2 linked regions of the Arabidopsis thaliana genome follow. The protein of the gene in region 1 interacts with the protein of each later gene in a pairwise test. Each region holds a gene or a part of one and is shown on either strand. Other genes may lie near its edges. The genes, in order: AT5G17410 and ATN1.

Region 1 (7,871 bases):
TGCACAAGAACTATGAACAATTTTCCCTATCTTCTGCTGGTTCAATCGGTTAATGATTCCGAGATTCTGTTAATTAACACAATACATTGGAAAGCAAGTGAGACTTCTTGGTGTTTACTAACCTTCTCTTTTTGAGCTCAGCTTTCATTGTCATCGTTTCGGGTTTGGTCCAAAACTACTGAACCCAATGCTTATAAGCAATCTGGTGAAGCTGATCATATCCCGCAAGCACTCCTGCTCCTGCTACTCCAAGAAGCATGTTCGCAGTAACTCCTCTATATAGCGCATAGAACCCTTCCGACTTCAATATCTCTCTTAAGGCATGAATGGTGTTCCGGTATTTAACAGGTTGTCCTGATGTAAGCATCATTCTCCTCCTAAGTGTGTCAAAAGGGTAAGCAATGACGCCTGCAGAGGTAGTAATACTCCAACCCAATAGAAAACTAGCCAAGAAGTTTCCCTGTCACGGAATCAAAGAACCATTTTTAGCTATTTTCTGCTATAGATTAAGAAATAATAACGGCATACATAGATGACATTACCTCTAAGGAACCGACTAACACAATGGGTTTGATGGTGTCGTACATCCCAAAATACATTCCTCGGTAAAGAGTGATTCCCACTATTGACACACCAAATCCACGGTAAAGACCTTTAATACCGTCACTTGACAAAGTTTTACGATACACATCGATCATCCCTTTAAACTGTCTCTTGCCATTAACAGAACATTCCTTTGCATCAGTGCCTAAACGGGTCCGCGCATAATCCAAATGGTACAGAAACAAGGAAGTTGTTGCTCCAGCAGCACTTCCCGAAGCTACATTTCCAGCAAACCACTTCAAGTAACCATCTTTCTCTTTCGAACATCCAAGAAGGTTCTTGAAGTAACCTTTAAATGCAAAGTTGGAAGCCTAAAAGCAATTAAATTTAGTGACAATAAGAATCTAACACAAACCTCAGCACGCTGATCTAAAGTAAGGGTTCTTGGAATGTAGTACCTGTGTAGGGAAATATCGTATGACATTGGCTTGGTTTCCTCTCCAAAAGGACAAAACACCTTCTTCTCTATAGATTCTGGTAAAGCAATTACCCAAACCAGTGTAAGGTCTTATGAGATGTCCAGTCTTTATCATCTCCCCTTGATTCTGCAGTAAAAGCTTCACCCTTTCGATTGGAGCAGCTGCAGATTTGGCAACAATGGCTGCAGCACCACCCATCACAAAATCAGCAGAGAATCTCTCGGATTTTCCGATCAAAGCCATCCTCTTTTCCCTCACCTAATTCTATACCAATAAATATAGAGATGTTATGGGCAAGAGTTTCTTCTGGGTTCTAGAAATATCAAATCCTAAAGCTAAAAAGGAACAAAATTTGATAATAAAAGGAAAGGTTTTGAAGTGAAAAACCTGGAGATTGCTAATTGATTCTCCGCCGCAGAGAGAAGAACTCGGCGGCGAAAGATTGATTTCCAGGTCGAGGAGGAGAAGAAGAGGAGGCGATTTCGTTATTTCGTTTTGAGAAGCCAATAAAATAGAAAAGAGATAATCATTTTCTGTGAATTTCAAAGCTGGAGGTGGAGGACAGGGCAGGAGCAATGGCTGGTTTTTTCTTTCTTTACTTAAAAAAATGGTTTTGTCCTTTTTTAATTTCGAATTTGAAACCAGGATCTGGAAATTTCTGGTTCAATTAAAACCGGACATTTTAAGGAAAACCGGAGATGGTTCGGTATATGGTGACTGTCTGACTGATCTGTGTCTTCTTTTTCATAAAGGTTTAAACTTTTAGTTCCAGAGACTGGGAGCGAAGCAATGGAATCAATGACGCCAATCTCGTGCCCTACGACTCCTCGTTGGAACCAAGACAGACCATTTCTCACTGGTCGCTTCCATCAGGTGCTCGATCTTCAGATGTGCTTGATTTTAGTTCTCTAATTCGTTCAAATTCTATTTAATTGTGAACATTGGTAACTTCTGAGAAAAAGTAGTTTTGACAATGGGTTTATCTCAGGAAACGAGGGCAAGCTCCAAGTTTGCTGATTCTAAGAGGTTTACTTTAGACTCGTCTAGGTATTTTGAAATTTTATACTAAAAATTAGTAATACATCTCTGTTTTAACCTCCCAAAGTCTGTTCCTTTTTCATCTTATTCTAAAGAGTCATTGACCTTTATATTTTGCTTTCAGCAGTTCTGGAGTAGAGCAGGCAATTGGCTGCTATGACACACCGGTTCAGGTTTGTGTTATTTTACAAAGCAAGTCTGTCCCTTTTTTTCTTGGCTTCCACTTATTCTGTGAGATTGTTATTATGTAACCTTGAAACTAGTGTTGGGGTCCTTAAAGCTTGGGTTTGAGTTGTGTAGTTTTTACAAGTTGGCATCATTGTAGGTGAAGTTGGTTTCTCGTTTTCGTGGCATAGACTAGGATAATTGACCTGAGCTAAACAATTGTGGAACTTCCTAGCCTAGGTTTAGAATTGGTGTCACCTCTTTTGTTATGTCCATTTCAGTAACTGTTTTTTATTCCTTTTGGCATGCAGGAGCTTATCGTCATTGATGATCTCTTATCTGCGTTGGTTGGAATTGAAGGGAGATATATTTCAATTAAAAGATTCCATGGGAAGGAGGATAGTATAGCTTTCCAAGTTGATCCATCAATGGATTTGGCACTACAGGTAAGTAGTACTCAACACAATAACTTTTGGTTCCTATCCCAAACATTTTTATCATGATGGTCTACAGTAGTCAACTGCAAAAAATCTGTGATTTCTAACCATGCTTGATCTGTTCTTTCTTAGAGCTACCGGAATTAGTGCATATGTATCATGTATGTACAAAGTCTTTCACATATTGAGACTGTTACAGTGATGTTTGCAAAGTGTATATTTATGTTTATGAAACTTGATGCATTTCATTGGTGTTCTGACTTCTTGAAAGTTCAATTATCTCCGAAGTCCAATAAAATGGACACATGCATTACTATGTTATGTCTAGGATGGTTCTCTCTTTTGAATAGGATTTTTAGAGATGTTATAACGGATTAACATTGTAATTCTTTATTTAATTGGCTCTTCTCATATATATTGACCGTTGCAAATAATTTTGCAGGAATTGGCGAAAAGAATATTTCCTTTATGTGAATATTATCTGCTGATTGACCAATTTGTGGAGTCAAGCTCGCAGTTCAAGAACGGGCTAGTTAACCATGCATTCGCGGCTGCACTCAGGGCACTCCTCCTTGTATGTGATATAGGTTGCTAGCTTTGTGGAAATTGTGATCCATTGTTTGTTGAGTTATTTTTCGTTCCCTTTCTGTTACAGATGGGGGATTTTGCGAACTGGATATGGATTTTTTTAACTAATAGTCAAGTTTGGGGATTTACTCAGTAAACTAAAAATATGAACTTGGAAAGCTCATTTTAGAATGCTCTTAGTTTGTTTATTGGGTTTCTTTCTTGTCCACTGAATTGGTGTTTTTTTATCACATTTCTGAGTGTGTGTATATGCATATGTATGAATATCTAAGATGACACATATAGCTCTTACTGTCTTCTTTGTTCCAAGTTCTTACTGTCTCTCTAATCCCTCTCTTACTATTGCCGCATTGAATAAACTGATAGTCTGATTCTTTTCTTTCCATTTCACATCTTGAGTTTCGTGTCTAACACATGTCATGCATTTTTTGGACTGAGGATATCATTTTATGTTAGCTTTGAGGTAATTTGACAACATTCTTTGCTATTGTTACACTAGTATTAACCATCCTCTCTTTTACCAGGATTATCAAGCCATGGTGGCACAATTGGAACATCAATTTCGACTTGGAAGACTTTCTATCCAAGGATTATGGTTTTACTGTCAGGTCTGTCTTTCTTCAAATAATCCAAGCTACAAGTTACGTAAACATTATGCTGATCGATTGTTTTTCGTATCTCTCAGCCCATGATGGGATCCATGCGCGCATTGGCTGCAGTAATTCAGCAGGCTTCAACGAAGCAGTTTGTGGGTTCTGGTGTTCTTAATCTCTTGCAAAGTCAGGTAGATTCCTGCTTTGGTCATTAAAAGTTTTTGGATTTTTTTGGTACTAGAATTAGCTTTTTTATTAAATGTCCTAATCTTGAAGACTATCATGCCTAGGCTAAAGCGATGGCTGGTGATAATTCAGTGAGGTCATTGTTAGAGAAAATGACGGAGTGTGCAAGCAACGCATACCTAAGCATATTGGAAAGGTTGATTACCATGCCTCTTTCTTTCTTGCTCGTAACTAGACTCCCATAAAAAAAACATTGTGCTACAATCTCTGCCCTTTCCCTTTTGTTATTGCTTGGAATGCTCAGATAAATCTAAGTCCAACCTGTGACTATGTTTTTCCTTTGTTTGGATGGAGTGATTAGCGAACATGTTTGTTATCTTTTGGTTTGGCAGATCTGTACATGGTTACCCTATTTGCTAGATCGCTTATATTATTATTCTTTGATGTGTCAACTAACTTTAAATAGTGTTTAATTAAGGTGGGTCTATGAAGGGATCATTGATGATCCGTATGGGGAATTTTTCATTGCCGAGAACAGGTCTCTCAAAAAGGTACTTCGATTGCTCAGCTCGTCTGCACTATTGTTAATTGCTTGATCTAACAATGTCAATTTTTTTTTGTACAGGAGAGCCTCAGTCAGGACTCTACAGCTAAATATTGGAGCCAAAGATACAGCCTTAAGGATACTATTCCTGGCTTCCTAGCAAACATTGCTGCAACAATATTGACCACAGGGAAATATCTAAACGTTATGAGAGAATGTGGGCACAATGTTCAGGTATGATTGTGAATGAATTTCCTGTTTATTAATACAATTAACAGTGTTTGTGACACTGGACCCGACATTGGCTGATTTTTTTTAACAGGTTCCCATATCAGAGAGATCTAAGTTAACAATATTTGGGTCAAATCATCATTATCTTGAATGCATAAAGGCTGCTCACGAATTTGCCAGTATAGAGCTTGTGAATCTCATCAAGGATAAGGTAATACTTATTTTGTTTTATGATGACTGCTTCTTTGATGTCGTTCCTCGTCAATACACCTCTCTGACCATCAGTATATGATTCAGTATGACCTTGTTGGAAGGCTTCGATCTATAAAGCACTATCTTCTTCTCGACCAGGTATGCTGGTTCTGTTCATGAATAACCAGTTATCTTCAGAGTTCTTCAGAATTTCCTAGGCACAAATTTATCAATGTGAAAAGTCTGTTGTTGAGTTGTTTTCTTCAGTCATTGATTTTGGTATAACAATGTAATGAACTACAGGGTGATTTCTTGGTTCATTTTATGGACATTGCTCGAGAGGAGCTCAACAAAAAAGTGCATGAAATATCTGTTGAAAAGTTGCAGGTACTTTTTTCCCCTTTAGAGCATGATTCAAAATATTAGACAAAGCTTCTTACCATTATTAAATCGTTATGGCCTCTACTTGTTTGCTGGAATCTAAATGGATGTGTATTATTTAGTCTTTGCTAGATCTTGCTCTACGTACCACAGCGGCTGCAGCAGATCCTCGTCACGAAGACTTGACTTGTTGTGTGGTGAGCAGTTAATTTGTCTTTTCCTGGATGTGATGAATTTACAGAGTTTGTACATTATATGTTCTCACTTTGTATTCATATCTTAGGATCGAGCTTCATTGCTTACGACTTTGGGAATGCACAAGGACACTGATAGCAATAGTATTGAGGACCCAATGAGCATCACTGGTCTAGAGACATTTTCCTTGAGCTACAAGGTCTGCTCCTTTCTTGCCTTGTCTGCAACTACCTGTTTGTATCTGGATTCGAACTATTTTGTTCGTCGAGATATATATAAGTAATAACACAGCTTAATGGCTATTAATGGTTGTTATATATAACTACTAATGCATTTCTAGAGTCATCATTCATACTTATATAAGTAATCGACAAATGCATATTCGATTGGCTACTCAATTGTTTGATTGTTGGTTGTGGCTTTGTGTTTCAGGTTCAATGGCCACTATCTATTGTCATATCAAAGAAAGCATTGTCAAAGTACCAGTTAATTTTCCGCTTTCTTTTTCATTGCAAACATGTGGAACGCCAGCTTTGTGGTGCTTGGCAGATACATCAAGTAAGGACTGATATAATATTGTGTAGCTTGTAATTTGTTTCAGTTTTGGTTTCTTCTAAAACCATTTTAATCATTTTGCTTCGCTAACAAACTGCTGTGAAAATTCTACAGGGGATTCGGTCTATGAACTCTAAGGGTACAGCAATTCTTAGATCATCGCTTCTCTGCCGTAGCATGCTTAAATTCATCAGTAGCCTTCTACATTATCTTACATTCGAGGCAAGTCTGAATGTTCTTTTTGTTTTGTTTTGTTTGTTTTTTAAAACATTTTTTTTTGCTAATAGAATGGAATCTGAATATTTTTTTGTTTTTTAAAGATTCTGATTGTCTATTCATAGATCCTGTTTTCCATTGTGATTTTGCGGTGTAAGTCTCTGGAAAACTAACTTCTAGAATTGCTGACATACACTCTGTATATTGAATCCAGATATCTCTGTAGTCGTAAAAACCATACTTACAAATGTAGGCACTTCTTGCAACTGTGTTTTTCGAGAAATACATTCTTGAAAACGTGATTCTGGAGAAATAAGTACACTATCAATGAACAGAGGAGAGAAATCACACCAGAAGTATATAAAGACATAATTCTTTATGAGATGATTTGGTGTTTATTTTAGCAACTATTGCCTCTCTAAGTTTTTCTAATGTTGTTTTTGCTTGTCTTTATGTGGGATGTCTCTTCAGGTTCTCGAACCAAATTGGCATGTAATGCACGATAGACTACAATCCACAAGGAGTGTAGATGAGGTAAGTGTAGAGACCTGCTTTGTTTTGGTTTGCAGGGAAAACATTCTTCATTGAACAATGTGCCATCATCTTGCAGGTGATACAACATCACGACTTTTTTCTTGATAAATGTCTGAGAGGATGCTTGCTTCTTTTACCTGACGTCCTTAAGGTTTGTCGCTGTTCCACTAAATGTTATGTTTTCTCAGGACAGATGTAACAGTGTGATGTGCTTCTCTTTCGTGCAACAAGAGCAAAAATTCTGAACGCACTAATAATAGTGTAATGTTTATCAATATTTTACACTCATATTTACTGATGGTGCAGAAAATGGAGAAGTTGAAATCAGTGTGTCTGCAATATGCTGCAGCCACACAGTGGTTGATATCATCGTCTATCGACATCAATAGCCAGTCTCATCCACAGAAGACAATGATAAGAGACACAACCGTTACAGAGTCCATATTGTAAGTAGTAACAAGGAATTGTTTTTCAAACTAATGGCTACACTATCTCTACAAAAGCCGTTGCTGTTAGAATTTTTGAACTTCATTATCACGGTATTGTTCTAATATGTCTGTTACGTGTTCTACCAGCAATTTCGAAAGGGAGTTCAACTCGGAGTTGCAGAGCTTAGGACCAGTCTTGAGCAAAGGCTCCCAGGCTGAGCCATACTTGACTCATCTCTCCCAGTGGATCCTTGGTGTTTCGAAAGAATAAGAGGTGAGACTTTAACTAAACAAACTCAGGCAATTCAATTTGTTTTTTAATGTTATCAAATGATATTCAGCTTGAGAAGTTGTTATGAGATGTGTGCGTGTGTTTAGGCTTTTGTTGTCGTTTCTTTATTTTGTTTGTGAACTCCACGATATAAGAACAAGTCTCAGGCTCTCTGTTAAAAATTTGCATTCAAGATTTGTGGGTTTTCACTGCAACTACATGTCTCTTGAGGGAAGTATCTGTGAATCTTTTACTGTGTAACTAAAAAGTAGTTTTGTTCAAATTTTCTTACAAT
Region 2 (4,814 bases), on another chromosome or scaffold:
AGTTTCAGGTTCATACCTTGTCTGATTGCTTATCTTCATTTAACGCTGTGTTTTCAATTGACCAACATTGTTTAACGAAAATAATTTCTATTTCAGAGGCCAGATGAGACTAAGACCCGAGGGTGAGGAAGCTGAGAAAGAGGATGAGCATAAAATCCCAAACGGAAACAGTGTAATGGTGGAAGAACGCGAACCTGTGGAGCAGAAAGGGTTCACAGGAGGTTGTTGCCAAGGTGCAAACGGAGTTTCATGTTGCCAAGAACAAGCTGCAGAGCCAGTCAAGAAAGAAGGATGCATGAAGCTAAACTGGTTGAAATCGATGGGGAAAGAAGAGGTTCTCTTGGGAGCAGCAGTAGTTTCAGCTGTCGCAACCGTTGCCGTGGCTTACAGCATTTACAGAAGGTCAGGTTAAGAACCTGAACCACCCTCCTCTTTTTACACTTTTAAGAAGAAACTTTATTTTTGGTAGCCATATTATAGAAGTAAAGGAAGAAAAGAAAACATGGAGAGGTAATAATCTTTTGGAACTATATAACCATCATTTGGTTTCGGTATGGGCAATGCAGGAATGGGATGTAATCTTGCTTTTGACTCGGTTTAGTTTGGTTTATCTTATTATGTTGTCATTGGAATATATCAATCTTCTCTAGTTTTGAGTATACGTATATGAAATTAGCAGGTGAGGGAGCTACTTATTTTAGTTATACTGGCCCACGCGTTGAGGCAATACAAAAGTCACAGTTAGGAGTTAAGCAAAAAAATGTCATTTAATTTCCCGAGTGGTCGTTTAAAACATGAACTAACTTTTGAGACATGAGAATTCGTTGATTAAGTCAAAATAAACATGTCTTTATCAGTCGTTAATGGAACCTCTAACGTCCATTATCACCTCTAACGATTTTATTAATCAGCTTTCAAATTGTAGACATTTTAAATATCAACTTTGTATGTGACCATTTAAAACATAAATTAAATATTAACTAATATTTGAAAACATGAGAAATTTGTTGACCATACCAAAATAAACATATCATCATAATACTTTAAAGAAACTTATAACATCCGTTAACGAAAGTAGAAACTGGAAATATATAATAAAACCATATATTATTTGGGTCAAACGACACAATTTGGTTTAGTTTCAAGCTTGATTTTGATTATGGGACAATGTTACCATTCAACAAAATTATAAGCAAAGGACCAAAAAAAAGATCAATGAGTAATTCATAATCGACAAAATAATTTTATTGATTAATATAAAAAGAGTATAAAAATGGGTTTGAAAACATGAAAAATAGATATCTGCGAAGGTACACACACAAGGACAGTCGTAAGCTAGGTAAATGGATCCCACCTACCTCATTCTTTTTCACCGACGAGATTTTTCTATTCACATTTCAGTTTTTGGTCTTATTTTAGTTGTTGCTTCACTATTCATATGTTCATTATATCAATGGCTTCTAGTCTTCTTCTAGAAATCGATCTTAATTCTTAAACCACCCACTTAGTTCAATATGTACTATTATTTCTCAATAATACAAAATAGATTACAAATAGTTTTGAATTATGATTGTATTTTTAAGAAGAAGAAAGACACTAAAAAAAAGGATGAAAAAGACCCGTAAGTGTTTTTTCTTAAGAGATAGAGGAGATTTCTGGTCACCTCACCCCTCACTGACGCCTACGCGGAAAAAGCAAACAACTTTCGATTTCTTTACTCCTTTTTTTCCTTCTCTCTCAAAACCCCTAAAATAAGAAACTTCAAAAAAAATAATCATTAACCAAACCAACACGAATCATCAAAATTTTGACCATTTCTCCATCAGTTCCAGTGTCAACTTCAGTTCTTCTTCCCATTCTTCTCTCAAATTCCCATCTTTGCCGTTCAATGTTTTTGTTTTCTTTATGTAGTTGACGAAATTAGGATTTTGATTGTCGTGTTTCTTTCTTTATTCTGTGTTCGGGGAATCCTTTGATAATTTTCTCTCTTTATATTCCACCAAAAAAAAAAGCATCTTTTTTGTTTCTTTATCTATCTGATTGTTGTATAGTTTCTCAATTCCAAAACCAAACAGAATGATTAATCAATCAAAAAGGGCCCAGCTTTGACATATCTCTCTCTTTCTCTCTTTAGCCAACTAGGGTTTTTGTGATTTTTGTTCTGGGGTTGTTGTGGGAAAATGGGATCTGCAAGTGGGTTTTACTCGAACGAAGAGTTTGAATTGGATCCTAAATGGCTTGTTGATCCTCGTCATCTCTTTGTTGGTCCTAAGATCGGTGAAGGTGCTCATGCCAAAGTTTATGAGGGAAAGTAAGCTTTGACTTACAATCTTTATCATCCATATATACTAAGAATCAAAAGTTAAAAGTTGTCTCTTTTTATCTATAATCATTGCTTGCTACAGAAATTTCAAATCTTTGTTTAAGTTTGAAAAAAAAGAACTTAGTCTTGAAAAAAGTTTGACTCTTTGCGTATATGAAGCACAAGAGAATCTTTTATTGTCTGGTTCAGTTACTTATTAGGCTAATTGGTTTAATCTTTCTTTCTAGTATTTATTGAAGCTTATCTGTTTCTGGAGATGCTTGAAGATTGTTGTTTGATGGATTGAAAATGTGTTTTTTGTTTTGTTTAGGTATAGAAACCAAACAGTGGCGATTAAGATTATTAAAAGAGGAGAGTCCCCTGAAGAGATTGCTAAACGAGATAACCGGTTTGCGAGAGAGATTGCTATGTTGTCTAAAGTCCAGCACAAGAATTTAGTCAAGGTTTTTCAATTTTTTCTATCCACCAACTCTGTTCATTTGGCTAATCAGAGAGTATTGGGTTGTAATCAACAACGTTTGGTAATTTGTATAGTTCATTGGAGCGTGCAAAGAACCCATGATGGTTATAGTTACTGAGCTTCTACTAGGCGGTACATTGCGTAAATATCTAGTCAGCTTACGGCCAAAGCGTTTAGACATTCGTTTGGCTGTTGGTTTTGCTCTTGACATTGCTCGTGCAATGGAATGTTTACATTCCCACGGTATCATTCACCGCGATCTTAAACCAGGTAAATGGAAAGAAATCTAAATCCGTGACTTCTAAGTATGTATGGAAAGCTTATGATCTTATTGCATCTGCAGAGAATTTGATCTTATCAGCGGATCATAAGACAGTGAAACTCGCTGATTTCGGTTTAGCTAGAGAAGAATCATTAACCGAGATGATGACCGCAGAGACTGGTACATACCGATGGATGGCCCCCGAGGTAACTATATTACTACTAACCCGGGATTTTTCTTTTCTTTTCGCGGTTGTCTTATCGGACATCTTGGTTAATGAATGATACAGCTCTACAGTACGGTTACGTTAAGGCAAGGAGAGAAGAAACACTATAATCATAAAGTAGATGCTTACAGCTTTGCCATTGTCTTGTGGGAACTTATTCTCAACAAGTTACCATTTGAAGGCATGTCAAATCTACAAGCAGCATATGCTGCTGCATTCAAGGTAATAATTCATCTCTCAATCGGTTCTGAAGCAAAACTGAATTACAAACTAAGACCGAATAGACGAACTCATCATCGACACGAAAAACCAAACCGAAACTTAGATTGAACTCCCTTGTATCTCTGCTGTGGCCTCTCTGCATTTGATCTTTACTTATTTGGAAGATCCTTGGATTCGTGTATCAAAATTTGTCATTTCTTGGTTACCAAATTGATGAATTCAAAGTAATGAAACCGGCATTGTGACTAATTTGTGTTTGTTTTTATGATAGAACTTGAGGCCAAGTGCAGAGGATTTACCAGGAGACTTAGAGATGATTGTAACTTCATGCTGGAAAGAAGATCCTAACGAACGGCCAAATTTCACAGAGATAATTCAAATGCTCCTCCGTTACCTCACCACTGTTTCGGCACCACAGATCATTCCTCCACCGAATCGACGAGTCTTCTCATCAGAAAACATAGTTTTATCACCGGAATCTCCCGGAACTTGCTCTCTGATGTCTGTCAGAGACGGAGACGTTTCTCGTCAGACCGTTAACACTGCTGATTCATCGGAGAAACAAACAAAAGGAAGCTTCTTCTCCTGCTGCTCATAGATGATGTATTTCGTTGTGTAATCTGTAAAGAAAACGAGAGGAAAGTGTTTATGATGGAAAAAAGTATAATGTATTAAGATTAGAAATTTAGATCACAGTCACAAGAAATTGTTCGTGTATAAAAAATATTGAGCCTGAAACATTAATAATGTTTACGTTTTTGCATAAATGTCGAAAAAGAGTTAAATTAAAAACTACGCCGTTGCCGGGGATCGAACCCGGGTCACCCGCGTGACAGGCGGGAATACTTACCACTATACTACAACGACTTTGATGTTCAATCTCTAGAGGTTAAGCATATATATTACAATTTTATTGGATTGTCTTCTAAAACCCTGAAACCCTTGAGAAGATCTCTCTTGTTCGAAAGATTTGCCACTTCGTTTGCAGAAGCGAAATGTTTGTCTCTAGGAGTCTCTCGAGACACTGCTGGAGGACTTGTAAATGGTCTTTATTTTCTCTCCTCCAATCCGATTCCTGTGTTAGGTAACTTCAGATTCTAACTCCATTTCTGATTCTGATTTCTCTCTGATTATTGAGATTTATCCAATACCCATCTCCCAGATTCGTTTAATTCCTCAAAGCTTAAAACTTTATTATCCGATTTTGATCTTGAAGGAATCTGGTTTCGTCATCGAATCCGGTTACGAGCATTGGTAACTCAAGTGAAGGTAATTCGAATTCGTTTCAGCCGTTGATGAATCAAGTGTTTAAAGGATGGTC

Evidence for each region.
Region 2: the proteins of AT5G17410 (region 1) and ATN1 interact in a two-hybrid assay, tested with the Arabidopsis thaliana proteins (one large-scale study listed by BioGRID).

Annotation. Positions count from the first base shown.
Region 1 is NC_003076.8:5,728,840-5,736,710, forward strand, and holds AT5G17410 (Spc97 / Spc98 family of spindle pole body (SBP) component), read left to right. Parts: upstream 1-1,770; 5' UTR 1,771-1,811; coding exon 1,812-1,895; intron 1,896-2,010; coding exon 2,011-2,069; intron 2,070-2,184; coding exon 2,185-2,233; intron 2,234-2,536; coding exon 2,537-2,671; intron 2,672-3,104; coding exon 3,105-3,236; intron 3,237-3,774; coding exon 3,775-3,858; intron 3,859-3,935; coding exon 3,936-4,034; intron 4,035-4,133; coding exon 4,134-4,225; intron 4,226-4,507; coding exon 4,508-4,580; intron 4,581-4,654; coding exon 4,655-4,807; intron 4,808-4,895; coding exon 4,896-5,015; intron 5,016-5,101; coding exon 5,102-5,155; intron 5,156-5,299; coding exon 5,300-5,383; intron 5,384-5,499; coding exon 5,500-5,574; intron 5,575-5,660; coding exon 5,661-5,771; intron 5,772-6,004; coding exon 6,005-6,130; intron 6,131-6,241; coding exon 6,242-6,349; exon of another isoform or gene 6,350-6,760; intron 6,761-6,814; coding exon 6,815-6,877; intron 6,878-6,953; coding exon 6,954-7,028; and 6 more. Other genes in the region: ER-ANT1 (endoplasmic reticulum-adenine nucleotide transporter 1), read right to left, coding at 176-460, 543-914, 1,002-1,265. UniProt on the Arabidopsis thaliana protein: Gamma-tubulin complex is necessary for microtubule nucleation at the microtubule organizing centers (MTOCs). Required for the positioning of the gamma-tubulin-containing complex on pre-existing microtubules and for the proper organization of cortical arrays.
Region 2 is NC_003074.8:10,209,874-10,214,687, reverse strand, and holds ATN1 (Protein kinase superfamily protein), read left to right. Parts: upstream 1-1,594; 5' UTR 1,595-2,180; coding exon 2,181-2,311; intron 2,312-2,633; coding exon 2,634-2,766; intron 2,767-2,857; coding exon 2,858-3,053; intron 3,054-3,126; coding exon 3,127-3,251; intron 3,252-3,334; coding exon 3,335-3,493; intron 3,494-3,764; coding exon 3,765-4,091; 3' UTR 4,092-4,271; downstream 4,272-4,814. Other genes in the region: AT3G27570 (Sucrase/ferredoxin-like family protein), read left to right, coding at 97-412; AT3G27550 (RNA-binding CRS1 / YhbY (CRM) domain protein), read left to right, coding at 4,489-4,577, 4,710-4,814.